Linked DNA regions of Callithrix jacchus. The protein of the gene in region 1 purifies or fractionates together with the protein of each later gene. This does not show direct contact. Links are inferred from orthologs where the notes say so. Each region holds a gene or a part of one and is shown in the gene's direction. Other genes may lie near its edges.

Region 1 (3,291 bases):
GAAGTCGCCTCCTGTGTTGACGACTGTTGTGTTGGTGTGCGAGCAGGGGAAAAACCCAGTTTGGAAGTTTGCCTAAAACTCTGTGTGTCCAGACTTTTTGTACATAGCTGTGGTTAATACACATGGAATCCTGTGTTTGGTTTGATAATCTGCTTTTATAAAAATGTATCTGTCCATGATAAGAAAAGTATTCTGTGGCCTGTTTAATGGCAATGAGGTATTCTACTGGAGGGATGGATATTCCATGATTCATTTCTTGGCTGTGTAGGTGATTTTCATTCTTTAAGATAAATTGGAAGCTGGTATGGTGGCCCACACCGGTAATCCTAGCACATTGGGAGGCCGAGGCGGGCGGATCACCTGAGGTCAGGAGTTTGAGATCAGCTTGGCCAACGTGGCGAAAGCCTGTCTCTACTAAAAATATAAAAACTACTTGGGTGTGGTGGCGAATGCCTGTAATTCCAGCTACCTGGGAGGCTGGGGCAGGAGCATTGCTGGAACCTGGGAGGTGGAGGCGACAGAGCGAGACTGTCTTGACAAAGATAACTTGGTAGGATTCGGATGTATACTTCCTTGGGTTTTCATAGGTGTTCTGACATGAGCTCTATGCAGTCTTCTAGGTGATAGCAGTTGCTCTCTCAGTGATTAGGAAATGCATGACCTGAGTTCAGTGTGAGGATCCGTAGTGGGCCCCCCAGGGTCTTCACAAGGCACCGGTGGGCCGTGAGGAAGTGCTGTGCTGTCAGCATTCCCCAGGGCCACCCATCCTCGGGTCCCGGCCTCTTGTTCCAGCAGTTCTTTGGGATCCTGGGGGGCTGTGCTCTTAGTACCTCTCATCCCTCCCGTCCTCTGTCTGGGGCTGCTTATTGGACCCCTCTGCTCCTCAGTGAGGTTAAAGTTTCGGTGACCTCACTGTTTCTGTGGTGGCTGAGGAAGCCCTGGGTTGTGGGTGGCTCCTTGTGCTTCTGGCCGGCCCTGAGGGCAGGGATTTTCACGGTGAGGGCAGCAGGCCAGAAGCAGCCTTGTCACCTGGAGACTTTGAGAAATGCAGATTCTCTGGCTCCATATGATGTATGGAGTGAGAGCCTCAAGTTCATTAACTGGGCCTGTGGTGAGGAGGCCGGGCCCCTGCTTGCTCCTGGCTCCCTCCTCCTCTGCCCAGCTCTGCCCAGCTCTGCCCAGACCTGGCGGAGGGTGCAGGGTGCAGGTATGCCGGCTGCTGCACTAATTTCCACCTGTGTCGTGTTGAACAGTGTGGATAGGTAGGCAGCGTTGTTCACTGGGAGATGCTCTGTAACAATCAGGATGTTTGGATTCTCTTTGAAATGTTGCACGTGTGGTCATGGTGGATGGCAGTCCTCACAGGACAGTGGCAGGTGGAGGCATCCGAACTGAGGGTGACTCAGGCCAGCCTGTCTGTCGGTTTTCATTTTTTGGCATCTAGGACCCTTGGGGTGGGTTTCTCGATCCCTAGAGCACTTCAGATTGAAGAAGCATCAAAGGGAAACCAGGTTTCCTCTGTCCTGCTCCGGTGGGTGGGGAGTAGGGACAGAGAATTTGCGGGTGTGTCCCGGTTCTGTAAAGATGAGCTTCCCTGTCAGCCGCACCTTATCACAACTCTGCCTCTAACCCAGTGGGAACACGTGGTGTGCACGTTCCATTTCTGGCTGTGCCATCCTAAACATCCCTCACCTGTCCTGCTCCCTGTCCCAGGTTTCAAAGAGCAGATTTACGACGTGTACAGGTACCTGCCTCCAGCCACACAGGTGGTGCTCATCAGTGCCACGCTGCCACACGAGATTCTGGAGATGACAAACAAGTTCATGACCGACCCAATCCGCATCTTGGTGAAACGGTAGGCGCCCCTTGTGTCAAGTGTTACTAAACACTGGCCCGCATGTATAAAGAGTTTTATGTCATAATTTCAAAAACCTTTTGTAGCCAGGGTCTTGCTGTATTGCTGAGGCTTGTATCAAAATCTGGGCCTCAGGCCACACTGCCGGAGGTAAAGGAATTTAAAGCATGCAAGTTCTTTTAAAATTTGTGTTTTGAAAAACCAAATACTATCTTGGGCAGTATAGGGAGACGCCATCTCTACAAATAATAAAAAGTTAGCCAGGTCTGGTGGTTCACGCCTGTAGTCGAAGCTACTCAGAAGGCTGAGGTGGGAGGATCAATTGAGGCCAGGAGGTTGAGGCTACAGTGAGCTGTGATCGTGCCACTGCACTTCAGCCAAGGCAACAGACCCTGTCTCAAACAAAACCAAACAGAAAACCAGTTTTTATAATACTCATTCTGCTTTGAACCAGTAATCCCAAATTTAAACATTGGGTGATGGTATTTACTTATCATGTTTTAGTTAGAATCATTTCACGTGGTGCACATTGTGAAATGTTGAGTAGGGCATAGAATGGAGGCAGGATGGGGGACAGGGCTGGGTCTGCGCCAGGTATCAGGGTGTGACCTTCTCCACCGGGGTCTCCCTAGAGCCTGGCCTGCCCTCAGTCCTAGTGTGTGACAGGATTTGTCTTTGTCCTTCAGTGATGAATTGACTCTGGAAGGCATCAAGCAGTTTTTCGTGGCAGTGGAGAGAGAAGAGTGGAAATTTGATACTCTGTGTGACCTTTATGACACACTGACCATCACTCAGGCGGTCATCTTCTGCAACACCAAAAGGAAGGTAAGACGCATTATACTGCCTCCAGGTGCTTGAAGGGAAATTGAAGACTGAGTCTCTTAATGACTTAGATCAAGCTTTTTCAGTAAAGGGCCAGTTTGTCCATATTTTAAGCTTCCAGGATACGTGGTCTCTTGGGAAAGCAGCTGTAGACAGTATGCAAACGGTCAGACGTGGCTGTGACCATTCAAACTTTATTTACAGAACGACGACAACGTCAGCCACCTGAAAGACGCAGATTTTGTTGGTTTAAGGTGGAACCCAGGCCTGAGTGGTTTCAGATCCCTAGGTGATGCTCATTTGGAGGCAGACCTGAGAACTCTCGGCCACTCTCCTGAGAAAGGAAAGGAGTTGGGCTACATTCTAACAAGATTGGAATTTAAACTTAAATTTCAAATGAGAATGAGCAGACCTGGCCCCTTGCCCCATAGAATCATCATGTGGAGAAAATGAAGAGGGTTTTGTAGGGGCACCCGAACATTTTCTGGGGAAAGGTGTTTTTTGCACATCCAGTTAAGATGATTCTGAGTTTTAGGAGCAGTTACCTATGAATATTGACACTGGTTCAGCAGATGGTGGAGGTAAAATCCTGAATGCACATCTGTGGTTTGGCA
Region 2 (3,903 bases), on another chromosome or scaffold:
CATTTCAGTGTCAGAAATGTATTCCCTCAAATGAAAATTATAGGGGTCTTTTTTTTGCCCTGTCCTCAAACCTTCTACTGGAATATCCCAGAGTATCTTCAGTAATAACAGGTGAAAGTTTTCGATTGGTCTGAATGTTGGGAATAAGGAAGAATAGAAAACAAAGCAAAGATTTATCTTAGTTCTGAAGTCAGGATTATTTTTCTAGAATTAATACTAGGCTGATTTTTTTGAGACCTTTCTCTTCTTATAATTTTTAATTTTTGTAGATACATAGTAGCTGTATATATTTATGGGATATATGAGGTATGTTGATATAGGCATGCATTTGTACTAATCATGTCATGGAAAGTGGAGTATTCATCGCCTCAAGCATTTAACCTTTGTATTAGAAGCCATCCAATTATACTCTTAGTTATTTTGAAAGGTAGTTATTTTGACTAGAGTCACCCTGTTGTGCTATCAGTTTCTAAGAGACTCATAAAATACTGGTTGAATATTTGATGTGTATGAATTGAGAAGGAGTACTTCTTTTCTACAGGAAAGAGAATCTCGAGAACATCTCCGTTTAGGGTTGCTGGGCCTTCCTGCCCCCAAGAATGATTTTGAAATTGTTCTACCAGAAAATGCTGAGAAGGAGCTGGAAGAACGTGAAATAGATGATACTTACATTGAAGATGCTGCCGATGTGGATGCTCGAAAGCAGGTGGGTGACTGCATTGAAAGAAGTGAGCTTGGCTGAATGTGTCAGCAGGCTTGAAGAATGAAGAATAGCCGTTAAATGTCTCAAGATCTTTACCTATTTCTTTTTAATATTGAAAAAAATTTTGAAAGTAAATAACATGTCATTAATAAGGAATACTCATTTACATAATTAATATACTCACAGTATTTTGATGGACATTCTTAAAAATGTATATGGAAATTTAAATACATTCTGTCAAATTCATTATGCTTCTCTAAAATACACATAGGAAGTCTTTTTGACATTACTTCAGTCTAGCAAAGAAAAGATGTTATTGGTTAGCTTTAAAAACAAATACATCTTGGTTCCTGGGTAGTGCAATGGTAGGAGCCTGTAGTCCCAGCTACTTGGTACTTGGGAGGCTGAGGTGGGAGGATCCTTTCCAGGCAATATAGTAAGACCTCTATCTAAACTGGAGTTGGAAATTTAGAGTATGTCAGAATAATATTAGTAACACTTTGTAGTAATATATCTTATATATAATTATTTTCTCATTTGCACATAATAGCACAGTGATATAAATAGGATTGGTATTACAGATTGAACATTGCTAATCCAAAAATCCAACATCTGAAATACTCCAAAATTCAAAATTTTTTAAGGGCTGACATGACACTCAAAAGAAATGCTCATTGAAGCTTTTTGAATTAGAGGTGCTGAACTGGTTAGTATAATGCAGATGTTGCAGAATCTGAAAAAAATCAGAAATCTAAGATACTCTTGTGCCAGATATTTCTGATAAGGAATACTCAATAAGCTCAGATGAATTCAGGTCTCATGGTCTCAACTTTCTCAGGTCTCATGGTGGGTAAGTGGTAACTCCTAAACTAGTACTGGTATTATATGACCCCTTTCAGTAATTCTTGCTGCAGTCCATTGCTGGAGGATTTTAGGAGCCTTTAATCTCAGGGGATTGGAGTGAGAATGACATCAGTGGAAATAATATTTTAGAGGGGACCCATGTGAATGTGCTTTTCATTGGGGAACAGAGGATGATACTTTTTGTGTTTAGGTCTCAGCTACTTTGAGTTCCATTTACTCCTTCAGAAATGGCATGAAATTTTAATGTGTTACCCCACATTATTCATAACAATCAAGAAACAATACATTTTTTGGCTAGCTTTTTGAATTAAAAGTCAGTAATTTGGGGTGAAAGGGAAGAAAGAGTTGTTTTGCGGGGAGTCTCTTTGGAGTTTACATTTTCCATTTGGATGAGAAAAGTTTGTTATGTGATGGATGGATTCATGCAAATTTGGAGAATGCTCTCGTAGACAGTGGGGACTCTGAGTTTCTATTATAATGAGAATGAATAAACATTCATTTTTGTGGCCTTAGCATTGCCTTTCTACAAACTTAAACTAATTTCTAAACTTTAGCTCTTGAACATATGTGATCTTACATACCAAAGTGTTTTTAGCTTTATTGAGAGATGTTAAATACTCGATAGCTGCAATAAAGGATATAAAAATCATTTTTTAGGCCATACGAGATGCAGAGCGTGTAAAGGAAATGAAACGAATGCATAAAGCTGTCCAGAAAGATCTGCCAAGACCATCAGAAGTAAGTGTTAGAATTTCTGGTTTAGGAAGTTTTAAGTTTCTTTTTATATGATTGCTGCTTTTTACATCATTCATAAAGACTGTAAAACAAAATTTCATCTACTTTCTGGAATATAGCAAGGTAGTTCTCAAATCCAGTCTTTAAAGTGTTTCACTAGTACTAATAAGAATTTAAAGTAAAAAAATAGAAATTGCTTTCGAAAATGTAAAACTGCTATTTAATTCATGCTGTAACAGGTACTAATGTTAATATATTGCAGTGATATGTTTGGTAATTGTATTTGTTTTAAATTTTTAGGTAAATGAAACTATTCTAAGACCCTTAAATGTAGAGCCACCTCTAACAGATTTACAGAAAAGTGAAGAACTAATCAAAAAAGAAATGATCACAATGCTTCATTATGACCTTCTACATCACCCTTATGAACCATCTGGAAGTAAAAAAGGCAAAACTGTAGCGTTTGGTACCAATAATTCAGAGCACATTACCTATCTGGAACATAATCCTTATGAAAAGTTCTCCAAAGAAGAGCTGAAAAAGGTATGATTGAGCTGGAATATTTCTGTCTTGAGATTTAGTTATTTGTTAGGTGCTGTGTATCATGGACAAATAATGAACTTATTTTCCCCATTGGTATTTGTAAACGACTAAAGTATATGATTAGGAGTTACATGTTTAGATTAAGTGTTATGAAAAGGACATGCTTTAAATACCTCTGTCCCCCATGTTCAGTGTGCTAGACCTTTATCAAATAAACACCACCAGGATGTTTTTGTTTCATGGGTATTAATGGCTTGATTGACAGTTGTTACAGTTGCCATTTTCTGTATTCAGCTCTGCTATCTCTGAATGAAAATTTGATGCCTTTACTACTAAAACCTTGCTTATTTAGAATAATATGAAGAGGTGAGAGAGAGGCTAATATAAAAATGTTTATATATTAAACTTTCACCTGTTGAAAGAAAGGAAATATTTGTTTGCTGAATATACTCCCCTTACCTGATTTCCCCCTGATATCCTTTTTTGGATAAAGACATGAAGAAATGATTTCTTTTTTTTTTTTTTAGACGGAGTTTCGCTCTTGTTACCCAGGCTGGAGTGCAATGGCGCAATCTTGGCTCACCGCAACCTCCGCCTCCTGGGTTCAGGCAATTCTCCCGCCTCAGCCTCCTGAGTAGCTGGGATTACAGGCACGCGCCACCATGCCCAGCAAAGTTTTTGTATTTTTAGTAGAGATGGGGTTTCACCATGTTGACCAGGATGGTCTCGATCTGTTGACCTCGTGATCCACCTGCCTCGGCCTCCCAAAGTGCTGGGATTACAGGCTTGAGCCACCGCGCCCGGCCAGAAATGATTTCTTATATGAAGTCTGTGTCTGGTCTTTTCCTCCATACACATTTTATTCCTTCTCTTTGACAGAGCAAACAACTGTGATTGTAAATAGAAATCTCCACAATTGTGTAAGAAGATAGAGTGGGTCTCATAGTTGGAAGCAGAGTGGTCATTAGCTTGAGTCTTTTTTTCTTTAGCCTTCAGCCCTGAGGAGCAGTAAGACTCATGGATTTGAAATGAGCTCCTGGTTACTTAGGATAAAACAA
Region 3 (4,664 bases), on another chromosome or scaffold:
GGCATGGTGGCGCACGCCTGTAGTCCCAGCTACTTGGGTGGCTGAGGCAGGAGAATTGCTTGAACCCAGGAGGTGGAGGTTTCAGTGAGCCAAGATCGCGCCATTGCACTCCAGCCTGGATAACAAGAGTGAAACTCCATCTCAAAAAAAAAAAAAAAGGCCAGGCGCGGTGGCTCAAGCCGGTAATCCCAGCACTTTGTGAGGCCGAGGCGGGTGGATCACGAGGTCAGGAGATCGGGACCATCCTGATCAACATGGTGAAACCCCGTCTCTACTAAAAATACAAAAAATTAGCTGGGCATGGTGGCGCGTGCCTGTAATCCCAGCTACTCAGGAGGCTGAGGCAGGAAAATTGCCTGAACCCAGGAGGCGGAGGTTGTGGTGAGCCGAGATGGCGCCATTGCACTCCAGCCTGGGTAACAAGAGCGAAACTCCGTCTCAAAAAATAAATAAATAAATAATAATATATATGTATATATATTCACACACACACACAGGATCTCTGTCACCCAGGCCGGAGTGCAGTGGCACAATCATAGCTCGCCTCAAACTACTGGGCTCAAGTGATCATCTTGCCTCTACCTTCTAAAGCGCTGGGATTTCGGGAAATAGCCATCTTGCCCAGCCTTACTAGCCCACCTTACTGGCAGCAGAAACTCTAGGCTCAGAGAGGTTAAGTCACTTGTATAATTTCATACAGCTAATAAGTTGTCAGGTCTAAATTCCACCACAGACCATATGCTTCCAATTGTTTTGCTGTATACGTCCGCTAAATAATCATAGCAAAAATTGTAATTGGTTAGTAACAGCGGCAGAGAAATCAGGAACAGCAGCAACCATCATTTCCACGTGCCAGGCCCAGAACGTAAGACTATCCCCATTCATTTATTTTTATTTATTTTTGAGACAGGGTTTCGCTCTGCTGCCAGGCTGGAGTGCAGTGGTGCGATCGCGGCTCACTGCAGGCTCAATCTCCCAGGCTCAAGCAATCCTCCTACCTCAGCCTCCCTAGTAGCTGGGACTACAGGAGCGAACCACCAAGCTTGGCTAATTTTTGTATTTTTTTGTAGAGATGGAGTCTCACTCTGTCAACCAGGCTGGTCCCGAACTCCTGGGCTCAAGCAGTTCTCCCGCCTCAACCTCCGAGTGTTGGGATTATAGATGTGACCACCGTGCCGAGCCCCATTCTCTTATTAAACCATTGCACAGGGAGCATCTACTGTGTGCGAGATATTCCCCTATTTTACCGATGCGGAAACTGCGTTCTAAGCAGCTTTTGCCCGGGGTGGGAGGGCACTGTCCTTGCCCAGCCTCTCCAGTTGGGCGTTCCGAGACAACCTACGTAAGGTATTCGGCTAGCGCTCAATTAAACCGAAACACTGTCGCACCGCCCACAGATGCAGACCGCCCAGTCCACACCGCCCGCCGCCGGGCGTCCCTGATTAGCAGTTGGGGCAGGGCCAAAGTCCTGGAGCTGCCGACGCGCAGGCGGTTGAAAGCCCCGCCCTCTGCGCGTGCGCGTGCGCGTACCGTCTTGCCGCTTGGCTCCCGGCGCCCGAACGCAGGTTGGCTGCGTCCGCGAAGAGCGCGCGCGCTTCCGCCGGCGTCGGGCTCGCGCACGCGCACGGCGACGGCGGCGGTGGCGGCCGTTCGTGCTCAGGGCTGCGAGCAGCGGACGGCTTCGAGGGAAGCGGCGGCGCGGAGGGGCTCAGCGGTGGCAGCGGCGTCTCGGCGCTCGTAGCTCTCGGCCCGGCTGGTGCCGGGGCGGGCGTTTCTGTCCGTTCCGGACGCGCGGGGGCTACAGCGGCGGCGACCCGAAGCCTGCGGCCTAGGCCTCAGCGCGGCGGCGGGCTCGAGTGCGGTGCGGAGCCGGTCAGAGGGCCCTACCCGGCGGCACCATGAGCGTGGAGGCGTACGGGCCCAGCTCGCAGACCCTCACTTTCCTGGACACGGAGGAGGCCGAGCTGCTCGGCGCCGACACTCAGGGCTCCGAGTTCGAGTTCACCGACTTCACTCTTCCTAGCCAGACGCAGACGCCCCCCGGCGGCCCTGGCGGCCCGGGCGGTGGCGGCGCTGGAGGCCCGGGCGGCGCGGGCGCGGGCGCTGCGGCGGGACAGCTCGACGCGCAGGTGAGCGGCACATGGCGGCGCCGGAAGCCCGGGCCCGGCTTCGGCTCCTGGGACTTGCCCTGACCCCGCCTCGGGCCAGGCCGGGCCGGGGCTTACCTGGAGTTCTACACCGCGGCCTGGCCTGGGCCGACCTGCCCCGGGTCCCCTATTCCGTCTGGGCCTGAGCTTACCTGCCCCAGGTTCTGCTCTCTTCCGGGGCCTGGCCCAACTTGCCCCGGGCCCCCGCTCCAGCCGGTACGGGGCTGAGTTCCTTCGGACCCCAACTCCCGGGCCGGGCCGACTTGCCTCGAGTCCTCCCCTCCGTCCGGGTCCGAGCTAACCTGCCCCTGTTCCTTTTACTTCGGCTGGGTTTGTTCCTCCGCCTGGGCTAGAGCTGACCTGCCTTGTGTTCCACAACCAGTGTGGCCTGGAGTAACCTGCCCCGCTTCCCCCCCTCACTCCCCTGGCCAGCTGACTTATCCAGGTTCTTCCACTCCAGCCGGGCTAGGGCTGCCCTGCCCTGGACCCTCTTCCGCAGGTCTCTGTAGTCTACCCCTAGTTCCCTTACGGCCTGGGCCGGGTGTTCCTCACGCCGGATCTTGAGTGATTTCTTTCAGTCCCCTTCCGGGAGTATCCAGGGTGACCTGCCCTAAGCCTGTTTCTGGCTCGGTCTGGGGGGATCTGTCCCGTCTCCCCAGTGGCGAGTCCGGCCTCCCTGTCCCACCTCCCATCTGCGGTGGCAGCCGTCTGGGCACGCCCCCGCCCCGCTTTCACGGTCAAGGAGCCGAGGTTCGAATTTCCCCAGGCGTAGGGGCGCTGGCCAGTGGAGGGTTGAGGCTCCTGGAGCCGAGAAGAATTTTTGCCTCCCGCAGAGGAGCACACATTGGCTGGGTATTAAGATCATTCGGGAGGCAGGTTGTGTTTTGTTTTTTTTCCTTGAATCGCCTGTTGCTGAAACCAACCTGTTACATAACTCCACAACTCTTGCCTTGAAAAAGTTGAGTTTGAGTTTTGTTCCTCCAATAAGACAGCAATAGTGGATTTTATATAAACGAGTCTGCCACTTTGGAAACTTTTTAATGATGTGGATGTTTAGAGAAGGTTATTTGGGTATTTTAAATGGAGGCTTGATTTGGGAAAAGTGTCAGGCATGCATTTCCTGGTTCTGGGTGCTGCCCACCTGGGGTGGGAGAGGGCTTTGGAGTGAGGGTGTTGGCCGGGGTCTGGTGAATGTCCTCATCGTGCTCTGGATCTCAGGTTGCTTTCACCCTAGGCTTGCTTTGTGCCTGACACCTCACTCAGGTTTATTTTCCTGAATGCTCTGCCAGGGAGTAGCTACAAGGCTCACCTTGGCAGAAGTGTCCCTTGGTATATGCTTGTGTTTCAGAGCTGGGGAAACCACCCCTTGCTCAAGCAGAGTGAGCTCAGACCCTGTCCTTGGTTGAGGGGGGCTTACGTGGTAGTCGGTTGAGTCACTCCCGTGGGTAGACCACCCACTTGGGCTTTCTTTTAGCCCCTAATGGAAGCAAAAAAAACATTTGACTCATTCTAACCCTGTATCTCTTAAAATAGAAGGCCTGCATAGAGGTGCAGCGTGAGGAGAACAGGTGTGCACATATGGGTGTTTTTTGTTTTGTTTACATTTGGTGAAGGGAGGGAGGGAAAGAGGAGAGTTCCCCTGAAGAAGGGAGCCTGAGCTGTGGAGGCCCCACCACCTTGTAGTTTTCATGCCCTGTAGACCTTTCTGCTTCGCAGCTGTGCAATGGGGGTGGCGGTTAGATTTTTGTTCTTACTGAAGGAAACCTAGATCCATGTGTTAGTCAACTGTATAGGCTGTCTGTAACCTGACATCCAGCCTGTTGGGGAGACTCGGTAAAGATCTCTGGAGCAGGGAGCAGTGAGCCATGAGCTGTGACAGCATGGGTGCGGGGTTGGCTGGGTGTGAAAGGTAATCATTTTCTTGTGAATCCTTCTAACTGTAGCCAGCATGAAACAGCAAACTTGGGGCAGCCTTTAGTTCTGCTTTTGTTTCTGGCATTCTGTTTGGGATTGTGGGGCATGTCCTTCTCTTTCAGTTGAAACAACTGATTTTTTTTCCCTGCACCTGAGTACACTGGGCTGTGCAAAATGAGAGCATTAAAATGCTTCCCTGGAGGTAACCATTGCAGTTGAGCTCGCAGCAGTTCCTGTGACATCAGAGGGTTTGGCCTGCACTGTTTTTAATTGATCCAGATGCCCCACCCACCTGTTGCCTGTAATTTTGGATGTGTTTGTGGGGAATGGCAGTGGCACCCCTTTGTATCACAAGGGGAAGACTGGAATTTGTGGGCAGGGAAGTCTGTGAATATCATTCAAGGGAAAGCAGAAGAAAGTTCTCTCTTGTGCGAATTGATGGCAGTGTTTGCAAGACATTTGGGGAGACTTTCCCTCTTTGTCCTCAGGAGTTGGCGGTGTAACTAGCTGTGAGTTGGGGGCTCCTGGAAGGACTCAGCCCCTCATTCTGCTTTTCGATTTTTATTTTACTGGGTCAGTGGCTGTCAGCTGTCAAGTGCCCTG
Region 4 (3,903 bases), on another chromosome or scaffold:
TGTTTTTGTAACCCACGGAAAAGAAACATGTATACACACAAGAGTGTGAAAAGGTATATATAAATTTGAAATGGAACACTAGAAATTTAAATAAGGAATATTCTATTTTAGAACTTAATAGATTTGATTATAACTGAGAATAAAAAATATTATTTTAACAGTGATTAAAATTGTGGTCTTACTCACTCTTTCTTTTTAAAGACACTCCTGGGCATGGAAGTGGATGGGCTGAGACTCCTCGAACAGATCGAGGTGGAGATTCTATTGGTGAAACACCGACTCCTGGAGCCAGTAAAAGAAAATCACGGTGGGATGAAACACCAGCTAGTCAGATGGGTGGAAGCACTCCAGTTCTGACCCCTGGAAAAACACCAATTGGCACACCAGCCATGAACATGGCTACCCCTACTCCAGGTAGAAACTCTCTCATTGAAAATAATTGTTTTTTCCTCTACAAATTATTTAATTTTTTCTTTATGGTATTCTGTGTGCTATTAATGTCAATTACTAGCTAGAATAAGGAGATAAAAAAATAAGTCTTGGTTTGCATTTATAATATAAAAGCAACTAAATGTTAGGGTTGGTCTTAATGCTCTTTTATCTCAAAGATATATGTAATAATACAGTGTTGCACTATAGATTGTATAAAAATTTGCTTTTCTTGGTAGGTCACATAATGAGTATGACTCCTGAACAGCTTCAGGCTTGGCGGTGGGAAAGAGAAATTGATGAGAGAAATCGCCCACTTTCTGATGAAGAATTAGATGCAATGTTCCCAGAAGGATATAAGGTAGTACATCAAATATGAATGAGGTTGTATTTAGGATATGCATTTATTTTAAATAGTAAAAAAAAATTGATCAAGGTTGCATTGGCTTTGCCCAAATTTAGTATTGTCATTCCATTCTCTTAGGTATTTCCAAGTATGTTTCAGTTCCAAAGAGAGATGAAAAGAAATGAACAACAAGAAATTAATTTTTGAAAGAAATCTCAAGGACTATTGGTTAGACTTTGAGAACTGCCGCTGCTTCAGTTTTCCATCAGTCCCAGGAATAAACTCCTTTAGATTGTGGTTTTTTTTTCTTGGTGTTTTACCAAGATTTTGTGTCCTTAAGTTTATGGATTATCAGTGGACACAAAGAATATTCTTGTTTTTTTTGGTGGTGGTGGTGGTTTTTTTTTTTTTTAGATGGAGTCTCACTCTGTTGCCCAGGCTGGAGTGCAGTGGCATAGTCTCTGCTGCCTGGGTTCCAGTCGTTCTCTTGCGTCCACCTCCTGAGTAGCTGGGATTATAGGCGTGTGCCACCATGTCCAGCTGATTTTTATATTTTTAGTAGAGATGGGGTTTTGCCATGTTAGCCAGGCTGGTCTTGAACTCCTGACCTCAGGTGATCTGCCCTTCTCAGCCTCCCAAAGTGCTGGGATTACAGACGTGAGCCACCATGCCCAGCGTTCTTTTTGCCATATCAACTTGAAATTTATTTTGAACTATAAAATTTTCTAGGTAGCTGACACTTAGGGAGTATTTGTTAGTCTAAAGGTAGTCTGTGGTCGTATAGCTGAGATTATAACCAGAGAAACCAGATGACTTTGTAAATCATCTGATGGCCTTTACAGAGCTTTTTCTGTTAATGACTGTTGATTTTTAACAGTTTGTGTGTGTTTTTTTTTTTTTTGGTTTTGTTTTGTTTTGTTTTAGAGACAGGGTCTCACTCTGTTGCCCATACTGGAGAGCAGTGGCATTGACATAGCTCATTGTAGCATCGAACTCCTGGGCTCAAATTATCCTCCTGCCTCAGCCTCCTGAGTTAGCTGCGGCTACAGGCATGCACCTCCACACCTGGCTAATTTTAATTTTTTTTTGTAGCGATGGAATCTCAGTGTGTTGGCTAGGTTGGTCTCAAACTCCTAGGCTCAAACTGTCCTCTCACTTTGGCCTCCTGAAGTGCTGGGATTATAGGCATGAGCCACTGTCCCCAGACTTGTTTTGTTTTTGATCCCCTGTTATTTTTGCTAAGTATGTGTTTCAAGTTTGCATGAATTTTTGCTTAAAAGCTTTTTGTAGACTCCACATAATGCTGTGGGTATAGATATAACCTACTGTTGACTGCCTGAGCTTCTTTCTCAGTCATAGTCATTGATTTCCTTAGTGTCACTAGGAGGAAAAGTCTCCCTTAGTGTGAATCCTCCTAAAAAGCAACATCCTTACTAATGAATATAAAAATATAGGAGACCTTTAAATTCTTAATGGCGAGTGATTTCTGTGGACTTGAAACTGATTTTTCTAGGCTTCACATCTATAGAGTATCCACTTTATTCAGAATGCTTAGTGGTCTGTGCTGGTGCAGACATTAACTAGCAACGAAAAATATCTGTATTTTGCAGATATTTTATATATATCAAATTATATAAAATAGAGATGGGGTCTCGCCTTGTTGTCCAGGCTGTTCTCAAACTCCTGGGCTCAAGTGTTCCTCCCATCTCAGCCTCCTAAAGTGCTGGGATTACAGGCATGAGCCACCACACCTGGCCTGACCAGAAGTTGTAATTTTTTTTTTAAGTCTGTTACCAGCTTAAAAAAAAAATTATTTGTGATTTTTAGCCAATAGTTTTTGAAATTTTACTGGTTTTGCAAAAGGTTTAATTAGGTGGTATATTTTACAGGGCTTTGGTAAACATTTTGGTTTTAGTTTTTATGAGTTTTACCTTAAAAGATTTGTTTTTAGAGTGCAGAAATTTATGTGATATTTTAATACTAAAATATAGCTCTTTATATGTTGTATACACCGTATGAGCTTATTTCCAGTTATATAAATACTTATTAAACGTTATTTGCTTTACTAGAGCATTTTTTGGAATTGCTGACTCAGATTTTATTTTCAAATTTTTAATAATTTGACATTTTGACCCACAACATGTTTGAACGTGATTAGTGTTTTCTAAGCTCTTCTCTTGTATTTCCTCAGTTCCCTATACAGCTGATATAATCAACAGATGAGAAGCATGTATTTTAAGTTTCTAATTACATTAGAAAAGCAAGATAGGTGTTGTCTCCAAGCAAATAAAAACCTTCTAACTAATAAACTGTAAAATATTTTAAGTGCAAATGTTTTTCAAGTTAAGATAATTCTAAAATGTCTTATAACTTTTATTAGGTACTTCCTCCTCCAGCTGGTTATGTTCCTATTCGAACTCCAGCTCGAAAGCTGACAGCTACTCCGACACCTTTGGGTGGTATGACTGGTTTTCACATGCAAACTGAAGATCGAACTATGAAAAGTGTTAATGACCAGCCATCTGGAAATCTTCCATTTTTAAAACCTGATGATATTCAGTACTTTGATAAATTACTGGTAAGTATTGCTAGCAGAAATAAACTATTACATTGTGTTCCAGAATTATAAATCATAACATTTCAATTTGCCTTAACATTTGTTTTCTTTTTACTATAGGTTGATGTTGATGAATCTACACTTAGTCCAGAAGAGCAAAAAGAGAGAAAAATAATGAAGTTACTTTTAAAAATTAAGAATGGAACACCACCAATGAGAAAGGTAAGTCTCAGTTTGTTAAGTTGTCATGTTTGTTGCTTATGTAATTAAAAACAAATTTTTGTAGTTTTTGTAGAGACAGGGTTTTGCCAAATTGCCCAGGCTGGTTTCAAGTGATCCTCCTGCCTCGGCCTACCTCCCAAAGTGCTGGGATTACAGGTGTAAGCCACTGAACCTGGCCATGTTTATATTTTTAAAAATGTTTTTAATTTTTAAATTTTTTCACCAGGAAATGTAGTCCACAAAATAGTAGTGAGCTATTGGTATAGCCCACTGTGGAGTATGGCCTTTCCTTACTCTCCCAAATAGCCCAAATTGGTAAAGGTTATTTAGGAAGCCTTGCCTGCAAAGA
Region 5 (4,634 bases), about 28 Mb from region 1:
AAGCGATTCTCCTGCCTCAGCCTCCTGAGTAGCTGGGACTACAGGCGCACGCCACCATGCCCAGCTAATTTTTATATTTTTAGTAGAGACAGGCTTTCACCATATTGGCCAGGTTGGCCTCAAAACTCCTGACCTTGTGATCTGTCGGCCTGCCTCAGCCTCCCAAACTGCTGGGATTACAAGCGCCCGCCACCACACCTGGCTTTTTATTTTTATTTATTTATTTATTTATTTTTTGAGACGGAGTTTCTCTATTGTTACCCAGGCTGGAGTGCAATGGCGCGATCTCGGCTCACTGCAACCTCTGCCTCCTGGGTTCAGGCAATTCTCCTGCCTCAGCCTCCCGAGTAGGTAGGATTACAGGCACGTGCCACCATGCCCAGCTCATTTTTTGTATTTTTTAGTAGAGACGGGGTTTCACCATGTTGACTAGGATGGTCTCGATCTCTTGACCTCGTGATCCACCCGCCTCGGCCTCCCAAAGTGCTGGGATTACAGGCGTGAGCCACCGCGATTGGTTTTCACCATGTTGGCCAAGCTGGTCTTGAACTACTGACCTCAATGTGACCCGCCCATCAAAGTGCTGGCGTGAGCTACCACGCCCAGCCTGATTTTAATTTGAATTCATTACCTTAAAAATCCCTGGATTTAACATAAAAAATCTAGATTTTAGACGTCGGAAAAAAATGTAAAATATTATCTCCCAAGACTGCAGGCAAGTAGATCACAGTCCTGAGTAGCAACCGCGGTCTCTAGTGGTTACGGTTCTCACATCCATTTCGCTCCATTTTATTACCTGAGAGGACTGGTAGTTTCAAAACCTGGTATATCAGTAACTTTTAGGGAAAACTGCACACACGCACCCCTTCTTCCTTCTCTTTATTTGAAAGGAAACAACGGAAACAAATTTGCAAATCTTTTGCGCCAGTCCCACGGATAGGCGACTAACAAGAGATACAGAGGTGTGGGTCCCAGAGGCGGTACGGTGTTTTCACCCCTTCCGGATAGCTAGTACGACCTACCCACCGCGACTAAGCACAAGGAGTGCTGAACTAAGCTATGCAAAGTTCTGACCAGAAGGTGGAACGGTACTTAGTGAAGAGGATTTATTTAGGAATCGAAATCGGTTTTGCTAAATTAGACAAATCTCATTGTCTAAGGAGCCACGCCCTGTTCGCAGGAGGAGAGGGAAGACAAACCAACGCCCCAGCTCTCCAATGGCACCTCAGCTCTGAACTAGACGCACTCTACAAGGATGCCTGGGTTTCCGGAGCAACCGCCCGGTCCCTCCCCCTTTGGCCCCGCCCCCGAGACTCCTTCCCGCCAAAGGCCGTTATCGCCGCAGAGCATGGTGGGACAAGGCTCTAGGCTAGGTTTCACCAAGTCCTTTCAAGGCGCCGAGTTGCTTTCAGAGATCCTCATTCCTGGGGAAACTGACTGTCCTTCAAGACCCGACCTGGAAGACTAGCTCCTTTAGAGAGAGTTCTTTATTTAACTTTTACCAAACGGCCACTCTATTCGCAAACCACCCCAAGCCGGGAACGCGGGGGACTTTTTTTCCCCCTTCGTGCGGAGGGTGACGTCGCGCGTGCGTGCGCGCGCGTACGTTGAACGTAGTCTTCGCAGCGCGTGCGTGTTGGGATCGAATCGCTGTTTCCTTCCGCTTCTCTTCCTCTGTCTCCCCCCCCCCCCATATCCGTGCGCCGAACTGATAAAGGCGCCATTTTGGAGGGGCCGCGGGAGACGTGGTGCCGCTGCGGGCTTGCTCTGCCGTGCGCTAGGCTTGGTGGGAAGGCCCGTTCTCGAGTCCACGTTTTTCGTCGCCGCCATGTCGGGAGGTGGTGTGATTCGTGGCCCCGCAGGGAACAACGATTGCCGCATTTACGTGGGTAACTTACCTCCAGACATCCGAACCAAGGACATTGAGGACGTGTTCTACAAATACGGCGCTATCCGCGACATCGATCTCAAGAATCGCCGCGGGGGACCGCCCTTCGCCTTCGTTGAGTTCGAGGACCCGCGGTGAGGCGGCATGGGGCTTGCAGCCTTGAGGAAATAGGTCCGAGTGGTCGGGGAAGACTCCAAGGCCTTAATATAGAGAACGGGAAGGCGGGGGCTCTTAGAGAGGATGGGGCGAGACTGTATCGCCCATGCAGGAGTCGAGTGAGGAGCTGAGTTGGTGTGGCTTCTCTGGCGCCTCGCCTTGGACGTCCCCGGAGCCCATTCGCAGGCTGGAGCGGGAAACTGAGGCGCTGAGGGCTGGTGTAGTGGCTGGGAGCCTGGCGTGTTTCTGGGTGGGGGAGGGGTCATTCCCATTATGCGGCGCATGTGGGCTCTTCCACGTTGGGTGCGCATGTGCGGGGGGTTCGCTGGTTCCCGACTGAGCGATCTTCTCCTCCTGGTCTTTCTCATGCCTTTTACTGTCTACGATCCCGCAGGGACGCGGAAGACGCGGTGTATGGTCGCGACGGCTATGATTACGATGGATATCGTCTGCGGGTGGAGTTTCCTCGAAGCGGCCGTGGAACAGGCCGAGGAGGCGGCGGGGGTGGAGGTGGCGGAGCTCCCCGAGGTCGCTATGGCCCCCCATCCAGGCGGTCTGAAAACAGAGTGGTTGTCTCTGGTAAGTCTACCGGTTGTGTGGTTGATGTGAAGGGACGGAAACTACTTAAAAATTTTCTCTTGCGTGACCGGTTTAACAATTGCAAATTTTTCATGCTAGGTCTTAAATTGCTTTAGTTTTTGGGTGAATTTAATAAACGAGGATTGCTGCTGTGGTGATTTACCAAATTAGGTTGCGGTACTAGATACGAAGATCCGTTACAAATAATTTTGGACTCTGGATTCCAGAATCTTACCAGCTCTTTACCTGGTATCACTTAAGTACAACTATTAAGTATTTTAAAGTACTCTTTGTCCTAATGTACCTTATCAGCTTAACGTGAAATTTAAGATAATTGATACTAAGAAAAAAAATCGCTTTTTCAGGACTGCCTCCAAGTGGAAGTTGGCAGGATTTAAAGGATCACATGCGTGAAGCAGGTGATGTATGTTATGCTGATGTTTACCGAGATGGCACTGGTGTCGTGGAGTTTGTACGGAAAGAAGATATGACCTATGCAGTTCGAAAACTGGATAACACTAAGTTTAGATCCCATGAGGTAGGTTATATGCTTATTCTTTTTTTTGACCAGAATTGGATACAGTGGTCTTAACAGTGGAATTTGAAGGTAAGGATTCAGGCAAGGGTGTCCAAGTAAATTGCCAGATTTCTGGTTTTAGTTACATTGTATTCATTCAGCATGCCTGAAGCTAGGTGAAAGCTTAGATCTTTCAATGGAAAGTTCTGTCTATCCAATAGGGAGAAACTGCCTACATCCGGGTTAAAGTTGATGGGCCCAGAAGTCCAAGTTATGGAAGATCTCGATCTCGAAGCCGTAGTCGTAGCAGAAGCCGTAGCAGAAGCAACAGCAGGAGTCGCAGTTACTCCCCAAGGAGAAGCAGAGGATCACCACGCTATTCTCCCCGTCATAGCAGATCTCGCTCTCGTACATAAGATGATTGGTGACACTTTTTGTAGAACCCATGTTGTATACAGTTTTCCTTTATTCAGTACAATCTTTTCATTTTTTAATTCAAACTGTTTTGTTCAGAATGGGCTAAAGTGTTGAATTGCATTCTTGTAATATCCCTTTGCTCCTAACATCTACATTCCCCTCGTGTCTTCGATAAATTGTATTTTAAGTGATGTCATAGACAGGATTGTTTAAATTTAGTTAACTCCATACTCTTCAGACTGTGATATTGTGTAAATGTCTATTTTGCCCTGATTTGTGTGAACTGGGATGTTGGGGATGTTTATGGTTATCTTACCTGGGGAAGTTCTTATGTTTATCTTGCTTTTCATGTGTCTTTCTGTAGACATATCTGAAGAGATGGATTAAGAATGCTTTGGATTAAGGATTGTGGAGCACATTTCAATCATTTTAGGATTGTCAAAAGGAGGATTGAGGAGGATCAGATCAATAATGGAGGCAATGGTATGACTCCAAGTGCTATTGTCACAGATGAAATTGGCAGTATTGACCTTATACTAAAAGGCAGGGGGGTAAAAATGATTATATACATTTTCCTTAAAACACTTGAATGTTTTATTCAGTTACCTTTAGCTACAATTGCTTTACCTTTTAAACCTTGGCAATTGTGGCAAAATTATGTTGCCCATTTTGTAGCAACTTATTTTGCTCCCTTCCCCCCATTTTTGTTATAATAGGGACTAATGTGGGAAGAACTGGCTAATTTGTCGCAGTGCTTAGTTACAACTGTTAATGTGTGACCTGCTGTTGGTGTACATGTGGGTAGAGGGTGTCTTTAAATCCAACAAGATAGAGTATAATATCAATACTGCTAAATCTGCATGTCCTCTGTGTGACTGATAGAGCGTTGCTATTTCATTTTTTTAAGACAAAATGAAAGCAAAATAATAGAGTTCCAATGTATTGGTGTAGATAATCTAGTTGGGAATACTTAGGTCTCACCTTCCCCTTTAATATTCATAATTGATTCATATGTTTAAAACACTTTAATTTACAAATTAAATTGCAAATGGGAGCATTAGATTTAGTTTTAGATTA
Region 6 (3,903 bases), on another chromosome or scaffold:
CAAAACAAAGAGGATTTGGTGGTTCTGGCCTTTTAAAAGTTGTTTATTAAAAAAAAAATAGAAATTGTAAAGAAGATTAAAATCATCTGAAAGTCACCATTAAAGGTCTGTTTTTTGTTCTTTGAACCTGTTTGCTATGAATATACTTAAGAATAAAATAATGCCATGTAGATAATATGTTTTAAACTTAGTATATTGTGGGCATCTTTCCATTCATGTGTGACTTTTTAATGGCTACATGGTGTTTGAATAGGATTTTCTCTCTCTCCATATTAATGGAAATAATCTACTTGGTTTAAAAAAACTGTAAGGCTTGTAATACCCAAAATTATTTAGTTTGTTTCATATAAGAATTGGTGTGTAAAGTGGGCAATGGTTGTATGGTAGGTATCAGATGTAGTAGAAGAAACACTACAGCTGATACTCTGGGGTATAAGTAAACATGACAGTGGAATTCACTAAAATATAGAGCTTTAATCCTCACCACCCAGTATAGTGCCTGGAATAAAATAGTCTCTCAAATATTTGTTGAATAAATGAAAGAAATCTGTTTCCTAGCCCTGTGTGTGTACACGTTTGGTTATTTTCCAGGGTCCTGTTATGCCAGGGAGTCATTCAGTGGAAAGATTTGTAATAGAAGAGAATCTTCACTGCATCATTAAGTCCCACTGGAAGGAAAGGAAGACTTGGTAAGATTCTTTTCATGGTGCTTTTAGAATGGAGAAAAAGCAGCAATTTTGGTGATTCAGTAAGAGCAAAGCGTATGTTCAGAGTGTTAGAAAATCTTATTCTCCTAACTCCCTGTCTTGCTAAGACCAATTTCTAAAAACACTTGATTTACTTTGAGGCTCTTCACCTTCATGTAGTACTTTTTAAGGTGCTTTATAGTAATAAGCATATAATGTCAGTTTTTTGCTGTGGATATTTATATGCTATGGAGAGCTTGAATGGCAAGTTATTTGCGGTTTGGATACCAATGGTTTTGCTCTGTTTTCTAGCATTTAGACATCCAAGCTTTGGAGTGTTTTTTTAAATAAAATTTTCTTAAACTTTGGAAAGTTTGGTTTAGATTTTAAGGTAGAAAAATTACAGTATTTTGACAGTGATCTACCCTATTAAAACTTCTTTTTTTCCGTGAAATGGAGTTTTACTCTTGTTGCCCAGGTTGGAGTGCAGTGGCGCAATCTTGGCTCACTGCAACCTCCACCTTCCAGGTTTAAGTGATTCTTCTGCCTCAGTCTCCCGAGTAGCTGGGATTACAGGCATATGCCACCATGCCTGGCTAATTTTGTATTTTTAGTAGAGACGGGGTTTCTCCATGTTGGTCAGGCTGATCTCGAACTCTGTACCTCAGATGATTCCCCCTGCCTCGGCCTACCAAAGTGCTGGGATTACAAGCGTGAGCCACTGCACCTGGCCTAAAACTTGTTTAAGTTAGTACATTTGAATGTGCTTCCATAGATCTTTCAAGAAATTTTGGATGCATTAAATATTTTTCTGTGATAGATAAAATAATTTATGCCATAGTTAAATGAAGTAACTGAAATCTAGGACATTTCAAAAAAGATTTTTCTTTGCTTATATCTAAACACATTGCTTTTGAAACTGCTTATTTGACTTTTCATGTGCCTTTGTATACTTATTAAACTTAAATTACACTTTTTATAGTGCTGCACAGTTAGTGAGCTATCCAGGGAAGAACAAGATCCCCTTGAACTACCACATAGTTGAGGTATGCATTCCATGTGGAGCTTGTTTCTCAGTTTTGGAATCTCTCTGTTGACTTTAAAGTATAATCTACTCTTGGCTTATTTATTTTTTGCTACTTGTCAGACATTGAAAATTAACAGAGGAGTGAGGAAATTGCTGTCAGTTTTGGTGCTGTTTAGCCATGTTAGTAAAGAGAAAAAAGGTTGAAACCAATAGCCAAATGGAATTTTGAGTTGCATATAAATTATTATATAGTATGTCCTCATTCATAGATAGTTGTTGTGGATACTGTAAGTTACCTCTAGCTCTGTCAATACGTTGTCCACTTAACAGACATATAAGTGGCTTAAATACTTTATCATTTTAGACACATATCTTTAATTGTGTTTGGCCTCTTATTACTAGCATGCAGTTGGTTAGTATATTATTTCCTGTAACACAAAGTAGAGATGAATCATTATTTATTCTTAGAAATCTAAAGAGCCAAGCAGTTTAGAAATAGAGTAGCAACACTTTTGACTTCATATTAACGCATACAAAAGTTGATGTTAATATACAGTTGAATACTTTATAGAGATGTATATTTAAAAAAGAAAGTGTTCACTTGACATGAGTCAAACTGTTAACTGCATTATTTCTTTTTTTGGTTTTTGGTTGATTTATTTATTTATTTTTTGAGACGAAGTCTTGCTCTGTTGCCCAGGCTAGAGTACAGTGGCATGGTCTCAGCTCACTGCAACCTCCGCCTCCTAGGTTCAAGCAATTCTTCTGCCTGAGCTTCCCAAGCAGCTGGGGCTACAGGTGTGTATCACCACGCCTGGCTAAGTTTTGTATTTTTAGTAGAGACAGGGTTTCACCATATTGGCCAGGCTGGTCTCTTGACCTCGTGATCCGCCCGCCCCGGCCTCCCAAAGTGCTGGTATTACAGGTGTGAGCCACAACGCCCGGCCCACTGCATTTTTAAAATATATATATATTAAAGTATTCATGGGCCAGGCACGGTGGCTCATGCCTATAATCCTAGCAATTTGGGAAGCTGAAGCGGGCTGATAATTTGAGCTCAAGAGTTCAAGACCAGCCTGGGCAACATGACGAGACCCTGTCTCCACTAAAAATACAAAAAAAAAAAAAAAAAAAAGGCCAGGCGTGGTAGTGTGCATTTGTAGTCCCAGCAACTTGGGAGGTTGAGGTGGGAGGATCACTTGAGCCCAGGAGGTCAAGGCTGCAGTGAGCTGAAATCGTATCTCTGTACTCCATCTTGGGTGACAGAGTGAGACTCCGTCTCAAAATAAATAAATTAGCATTCATGAAAGAGAGAGCATAGATAGGATGTATTAAGAGTCTCATCCTCTACTGACTGAGCTAACTGGGCCTGATAGGATATATTAAGATACATATTTTATTAATAATGCACTTTTGTGCTTTTTTAAAAAAGTACTGTGTATTTCCCTTCTTTACAAAACTTGTGTATACTTAATGCTATGAACTTGGCTCATTTCAGTGACATGCCTGAAATGCAAAATGTCATTTTTAAATCTGCAAAATTTATAGACATTCATTAGACCCAAGTGTAGAAGTGTGAGAGATGGGTAAGAGTAAAGGATGCAGACTAGGACTTTAGAATTCTAGGCAGATGGTCCACCAATTATACAGAGAGGGTGGGAAGGAAGCTTCTGAATAAGAGGCATAGCAAGGAAGTCTTGGATTGCCAGAAAGATCTGAGGATCTATTTCAAATAACAGTGTGGAATGACTTGATTATCTTGTTTCCTGTCCCCAGAATCTAACAGGATTTTTTTTTTTTTTTTTTGAGATAGGGTCTCGCTCTGTCACCCAGGCTGAAGTGCAGTAGCACGATCTCAGCTTATTGCAACCTCTGCCTCCTGGGTTCAAGCAATTCTCCTGCCTCAGCCTCCCAAGTTGCAGGAACTATAGGAGCCCACCACCACACATGGCTAATTTTTGTATTTTTTGTAGAGACAGGGTTTCATCATGCTTTCCAACTTGTCTTGAACTCCTGACCTTAAGTAATCTGCCTGCCTTGGCCTCCCAAAGTGCTGGGATTACAGGCGTGAGCCACTACACCTGGCTGAAGAGTTCTTATTACTTACAGGAACGAAACTGTCATGGAACTTTTGAGCCCCTCAAAAAGCTGTATTTCCTTGTCTCAACTGTGATAACTTTCAGAGTTGGA
Region 7 (4,642 bases), on another chromosome or scaffold:
TGTCTTAAAAAAAAAAATCAGAAATTTAGCTAGGAGCTTCAAATGACAGGACATTTCTATATACAATGGATTTTCTAATCATGGGTCCACTAACTAGCTGGATCATAGTCTTAGTTTGTATCCCAGACCCTCTAAAATGAGGGATAGGAGTCCAGGTACCTCGTTCCATGGCAGGCAGTAGTTTTTTTTATTTTTGAGACAGGTTCTCGCTATGTTGTCCAGGCTCATCTCTTTGGCTCATGCGATCCTCCTGCCTCTGGAGTGGCTGGGATCAGACGCAACTGCCACCACACCCTGCTCCTAGGCAGTAGTCTTAATGCCTGATGGTGGGGGGTTGGAGAAGGAAGGCATCCAACGTCAGGATAAATGCTGCAGAGCTGTGTTAAGGACTTAAGCCCAGCAGTCAAATGCCTCTGCCCACATCCTACTCTGCAAGGCTTTGGGCAACTTAAGCAGCAGCCTCTGTTTCTGTTTCAGTGGCTCTTGTTTGTAATCCCAGCACTTTGGGAGGCTGAGGCAGGAGGATCAGTTGGGCTCGAGTTTGAGACCAGCCGAGGCAACACAATGAGACTACCCCATCTCTGCTTCCTCATGTGAATGTGGTTTTAAGGAGATGACACAAAAACACACACACAGAATGCTATTAGCAAGTCGCAGCACAGAATAAATACTCATTTCATAAAGTATGTGTTTATTATTACCATAGGCCTACAGTCCCCAGTATTCTTCATCCATCTTGCCTGAGAAGTATCACACTCATGCCTATTAATCAGCTCACACATTTAATCAAAGGATTTTGGCAGCTGTAGGGTGGTCTTTTTATCCATATCGTCCCTGGAATTAAGTGTCCTGCTATACCCGTGCAGATTCAGCAGCATCTGTCAAGAGTTTCAATCCCATTTGCAGAGGAAAGGCTCTGTGGCTTCGGCCGGTGGCTCTCCATAGGTGCTGTGACTGGACCCAGCCCATCTTCACCTCTGTTAGGCTTCGGGGTCTTTCTCCACACTGTGCCTTGTCAAATCACAAGACTTCAACGGAGACGGCGGTCTGGCCTAGGCTCTTCTGAGTGGGATATCCGCAGGCCAAAAATCGGAGTCAGGATTCGAGGCCGTGCGCAGTGCCCGGAATGACCCCTCAACGCCGAGGCCAGAATAGAGCCCAGAAGCGGCCTCAGCCCCGCGCAGCCCAGGCTTAAATGTTTGCGCCCGGGCCCCTCTGGCTACCTGGTGGTGGCCCTGAGCGGCCCCGGAGGCCGCGGCGTAGCTCCTGGGTGAAAGCGTCTTTGAATCGCTCAACGCGGCGGCCCAGGGAGCCCGCGGGCCCAGCCGCGAGGTCCCGCAGGCGGCGGGCCGCGTCTTGGCCCCGCAGCTGGGCCTGGAGCAGTGCGAAGGCTGTGAGCTGCGCCGCACGTCGGATAGGCCACGACTCCGACAGACGATCCACTAGCTGCGGGCTGTGCAGCAAGGCGGCCAGCAGCCGTCGGAGCACCATCCTCTCCCGGCGCCCGAAAACCGCAGCGCGCCGCCCTTACCTTCTGCTCCGCGGGCCCGACCCGACGCCTTTTGTGCTCGCGCAGCTTGATGACGATACTGTCGCCCGGATTGGGTCCAATAAGATGCGCGTCTCCGCCCGTCTCCGCTTCCGCCACGGCAGTCGCCGCCTCGTGTCGGGAGTTGTCGCATCCTCGTCCGCTTCTCTGCGCTATGTCGGGTGGCCTCCTGAAGGCGCTGCGCAGCGACTCCTACGTGGAGCTGAGCCAGTACCGGGACCAGCACTTCCGGGTGAGGGAGGCCCGGCCGCGAGAGGGGAAGGCCCTGGGCCAGAACGCTGAGAAACGGTTTGCTCTTGTCTCGTGTTGCATCCCATTATGCTGGAGTCCCCAAACGCCAAGTGGGGCCTCGGTGCCTGCTGGGGAGGCAGGGAATGGGTGCTGCAAGGGCGTTTGGATATCGATGAAGCCACTTTCTCTGGAAGATTGAGAATTTGAGGCTCGCTTTCCCGTTCCCTAGCAGGCACTCCCGGTACCCCGGCCAGCGCCGAGAGGTTTGAGTGGTAGTAGTAGTGGCTCCCGTTTCCACGGTTTGCCTCGGGAAGGTGACTACGTAACAAGGGGGAGGGGTGTCCTAACTCCCTGAGTCTGTAGAGGCGCCTTCCTGATGCAGACACGGGGCTTTTTACTTTGTTTTTTAAATCAGCGAAGCAGTGCCTTTCCGCGATTCGGGCCCCCTCACTGGGAGGGTGGTCCTACGGAAACTGTACGCGGTGCGTGGGAGACACGAGTGGAGTCCTCACTCCGCCCTCGGGGAACCTTCGGAGTAGGAGGTGGACCCGTCAAGCTGGGCACGTTGAGGGTGTAAAGATGGGAGAGTTGCTGCATTTCAGAAGAGGGAAATTTTTAGTCCCAACTATATCGAATACTGTATCACTATATTTTGTGAAAAAGGGGGAGGCTGCAGATATTCAGAGTAGGCTTTTCAGTATCAACAAAGGCAGGGATGGAATACGGTTGGGGCTAGCGGGACTCTTTAACCCAGTTATTTAGTAAATGTTTATTGAGTGCTGTTGCTAAAGCCTTGTACTAAACCCTAGAGGGAGAGGGAAGACAGATTTTTGCACTCGACGAGCTCATAATTCCCCGTAGTATGGATTATAAATGGAGGGAAGTAATCAGAATCTAAGCAGAAGTGAGTTAAGACAGAAGTAGTGAAGATTCAGAAAAGCGGGGGGAATCCCCATGTGACTGGGAAATGAAGGGCTGTACATAGCAGAGGGTAGGTGTGGAGAATGTGTGAAATGTGTTACTAAAGTAGGGAAAAGGAAATTTTGTTTGACAGCAAATTGGGGAAGCTCTTAAATTTATTCAGCCGAGCATGGTGGCTCACGCCTGTAATCCCAGAACTTGGGGAGTCAGAGGTGGCCAGATCATGACGTCAACAGATCGAGATCATCCTGGCCAACATGATGAAACCCCGTCTCTACTCAAAATACAAAAAATTAGCTGGGCGTGGTGGGGCGCGCCTGTAGTCCCAGCTACTCCGGAGGCTGAAAGGAGAATGCTTGAACCCAGGAGGCGGAGGTTGCAGTGACCTGAGATCGCGCCACTGCACTCCAGCTTGGGCAACACAGCGAGACTCCATCTCAAAAAAAAAAAATTTTTAAGGACGGGCACGACACGGTGGCGCACACGTGTAATCCCAGCACTTTGGGAGGCCAGGACAGGTGGATAACGAGGTCAGGAGTTCAAGACCAGCCCGGCCAAGATGGTGAAACCCCATCTCTACTAAAAATACAAAAATTAGCTGGGCATGGTGGCGGTTGCCTGTAATCCTGGCTACTTGGGAGGCTGGGGCAGGAGAGTCGCTTGGAACCCAGAAGGCGGTTGCAGTGAGTTGAGATCATGCCACTGCACTCCAGCCTGGGTGACAGAATGAGACTATGTCTTAAAATGATTTATTATTATTTATGCATTCCAGCCTGGGCGACAGAGTGAGAGTATGTCTCAAATAAAACAAGACTTATTTATTTTTTGAGACAGAGACTAGCTCTATTGCTTCGGCTGAAGTGCAGTGGCACAATCACGATTCTGCAGCCTCAGCATCCTAAGCCCAAGTGATCCTCCCACCTCAGCCTCTGGAGAAGCTGGGACCACAGGTTCGCACCACTACATATGGCTTTTTGTAGAGACAGGTCTCCCTGCAGTGTTCAGGCTAGTCTCAAACTCGGGGACTCAAGCAATCTACCTGCCTGGGCTTCCCAAAGTGTTGGGATTACAGATATGAACCACTGATCCCGGCTGGTCAGGTTTTTAGATGCTTTAGTGCCAGGCATGATTTGCACTTCTACCACTTTTACAGCTATTACTTCAGACAATTCCACATCCTAACCATTTTTAACTTCAATGTAAAATGAAAACTGAAAACTTTTGACTTTGTCTATTATTCATCTCTTCAGTCTAAAACCTAGAGCTTTATTTAGATAATAATACCATACTGTCATGTGGAATTTCTAGCATTCTGTGAATGGAATCCATATTCATATAGTTAAGTACTTGTACCGTAGTTATCTTAAACTGTAGGCTATTTATTTGGACCTTACTTATGTGTGAGGAAAGTAGAAAAAGAAGATGCCCCATCCATGTTAACAAATCAGTGACAGCAGTAAAATGACAGGAATTTACTTTGTCTAATGTCTCATAGTTCTAGAAACCTCATTTTAACATAGAATGACTATTGTTCTGTGGATTTTTTTTTTTTTTTTTTTGAGATGGAGTTTTGCTTCTGAGGCCCAGGCTGGAGTGCAATGGCGCCATCTCGGCTCATTGCAGCCTCCACCTCCCAGGTTTAAGCAATTCTCCTGCCTCAGCCTCCCAAGTAGCTGGGATTACAGGTGCCCACCACCATGCCCAGCTAATTTTTTTTGTATTTTTAGTAGAGATGGGGCATCACCATGTTGGCCAGGCTGGTCTTGAAGTCCTGACCTCAGGCAATCCACCCTCCTCCACCTCCCAAAGTACTGGGATTACAGATGTGAGCCACCGTGCCCGACCTCGATGAGCCATTTTGGATCCAGGGATTTGTCAGTTGTGCTGGTTGAAGCCCAGTTATATTCTTGTCTCTGGCTTCATCCTTTCATCCCAATTTGG

The links.
Region 2: the proteins of EIF4A3 (region 1) and CDC5L purify together in Homo sapiens (affinity purification with mass spectrometry; 3 studies listed by BioGRID and IntAct, with this or other methods). This does not show direct contact. The link is inferred for Callithrix jacchus from reciprocal best matches to the Homo sapiens genes EIF4A3 and CDC5L.
Region 3: the proteins of EIF4A3 (region 1) and UPF1 purify together in Homo sapiens (co-immunoprecipitation; 8 studies listed by BioGRID and IntAct, with this or other methods). This does not show direct contact. The link is inferred for Callithrix jacchus from reciprocal best matches to the Homo sapiens genes EIF4A3 and UPF1.
Region 4: the proteins of EIF4A3 (region 1) and SF3B1 purify together in Homo sapiens (co-immunoprecipitation; 3 studies listed by BioGRID and IntAct, with this or other methods). This does not show direct contact. The link is inferred for Callithrix jacchus from reciprocal best matches to the Homo sapiens genes EIF4A3 and SF3B1.
Region 5: the proteins of EIF4A3 (region 1) and SRSF1 fractionate together in Homo sapiens (co-fractionation; 4 studies listed by BioGRID and IntAct, with this or other methods). This does not show direct contact. The link is inferred for Callithrix jacchus from reciprocal best matches to the Homo sapiens genes EIF4A3 and SRSF1.
Region 6: the proteins of EIF4A3 (region 1) and NCBP1 purify together in Homo sapiens (co-immunoprecipitation; 3 studies listed by BioGRID and IntAct, with this or other methods). This does not show direct contact. The link is inferred for Callithrix jacchus from reciprocal best matches to the Homo sapiens genes EIF4A3 and NCBP1.
Region 7: the proteins of EIF4A3 (region 1) and NCBP2 purify together in Homo sapiens (co-immunoprecipitation; 3 studies listed by BioGRID and IntAct, with this or other methods). This does not show direct contact. The link is inferred for Callithrix jacchus from reciprocal best matches to the Homo sapiens genes EIF4A3 and NCBP2.

What each region holds. Positions count from the first base shown.
Region 1 is NC_133506.1:135,880,187-135,883,477, reverse strand, and holds part of EIF4A3 (eukaryotic initiation factor 4A-III), read left to right. Parts: intron 1-1,713; coding exon 1,714-1,855; intron 1,856-2,541; coding exon 2,542-2,680; intron 2,681-3,291. UniProt on the Homo sapiens protein: ATP-dependent RNA helicase. Involved in pre-mRNA splicing as component of the spliceosome. Core component of the splicing-dependent multiprotein exon junction complex (EJC) deposited at splice junctions on mRNAs.
Region 2 is NC_133505.1:52,881,286-52,885,188, forward strand, and holds part of CDC5L (cell division cycle 5-like protein), read left to right. Parts: intron 1-541; coding exon 542-706; intron 707-2,224; coding exon 2,225-2,305; intron 2,306-2,602; coding exon 2,603-2,845; intron 2,846-3,903.
Region 3 is NC_133523.1:17,531,003-17,535,666, forward strand, and holds the start of UPF1 (regulator of nonsense transcripts 1), read left to right. Parts: upstream 1-1,834; 5' UTR 1,835-1,887; coding exon of another isoform or gene 1,888-1,898; coding exon 1,899-2,129; intron 2,130-4,664. Other genes in the region: uncharacterized protein LOC144580760, read right to left, coding at 1,443-1,834, 1,888-1,900. UniProt on the Homo sapiens protein: RNA-dependent helicase required for nonsense-mediated decay (NMD) of aberrant mRNAs containing premature stop codons and modulates the expression level of normal mRNAs.
Region 4 is NC_133507.1:118,370,175-118,374,077, reverse strand, and holds part of SF3B1 (splicing factor 3B subunit 1), read left to right. Parts: intron 1-201; coding exon 202-414; intron 415-668; coding exon 669-790; intron 791-3,155; coding exon 3,156-3,353; intron 3,354-3,452; coding exon 3,453-3,554; intron 3,555-3,782; exon of another isoform or gene 3,783-3,903. UniProt on the Homo sapiens protein: Component of the 17S U2 SnRNP complex of the spliceosome, a large ribonucleoprotein complex that removes introns from transcribed pre-mRNAs.
Region 5 is NC_133506.1:108,329,056-108,333,689, forward strand, and holds the start of SRSF1 (serine/arginine-rich splicing factor 1), read left to right. Parts: upstream 1-1,705; 5' UTR 1,706-1,828; coding exon 1,829-2,022; exon of another isoform or gene 2,023-2,438; coding exon 2,439-2,623; exon of another isoform or gene 2,624-2,988; coding exon 2,989-3,161; exon of another isoform or gene 3,162-3,361; coding exon 3,362-3,548; exon of another isoform or gene 3,549-3,921; coding exon 3,922-3,944; coding exon of another isoform or gene 3,945-3,960; 3' UTR 3,961-4,634. UniProt on the Homo sapiens protein: Plays a role in preventing exon skipping, ensuring the accuracy of splicing and regulating alternative splicing.
Region 6 is NC_133502.1:145,779,011-145,782,913, forward strand, and holds part of NCBP1 (nuclear cap-binding protein subunit 1), read left to right. Parts: intron 1-591; coding exon 592-689; intron 690-1,668; coding exon 1,669-1,732; intron 1,733-3,903. UniProt on the Homo sapiens protein: Component of the cap-binding complex (CBC), which binds cotranscriptionally to the 5'-cap of pre-mRNAs and is involved in various processes such as pre-mRNA splicing, translation regulation, nonsense-mediated mRNA decay, RNA-mediated gene silencing (RNAi) by microRNAs (miRNAs) and mRNA export.
Region 7 is NC_133516.1:25,206,845-25,211,486, forward strand, and holds the start of NCBP2 (nuclear cap-binding protein subunit 2), read left to right. Parts: upstream 1-1,651; 5' UTR 1,652-1,703; coding exon 1,704-1,781; exon of another isoform or gene 1,782-1,837; intron 1,838-4,642. Other genes in the region: protein NCBP2AS2, read right to left, coding at 1,192-1,491. UniProt on the Homo sapiens protein: Component of the cap-binding complex (CBC), which binds co-transcriptionally to the 5' cap of pre-mRNAs and is involved in various processes such as pre-mRNA splicing, translation regulation, nonsense-mediated mRNA decay, RNA-mediated gene silencing (RNAi) by microRNAs (miRNAs) and mRNA export.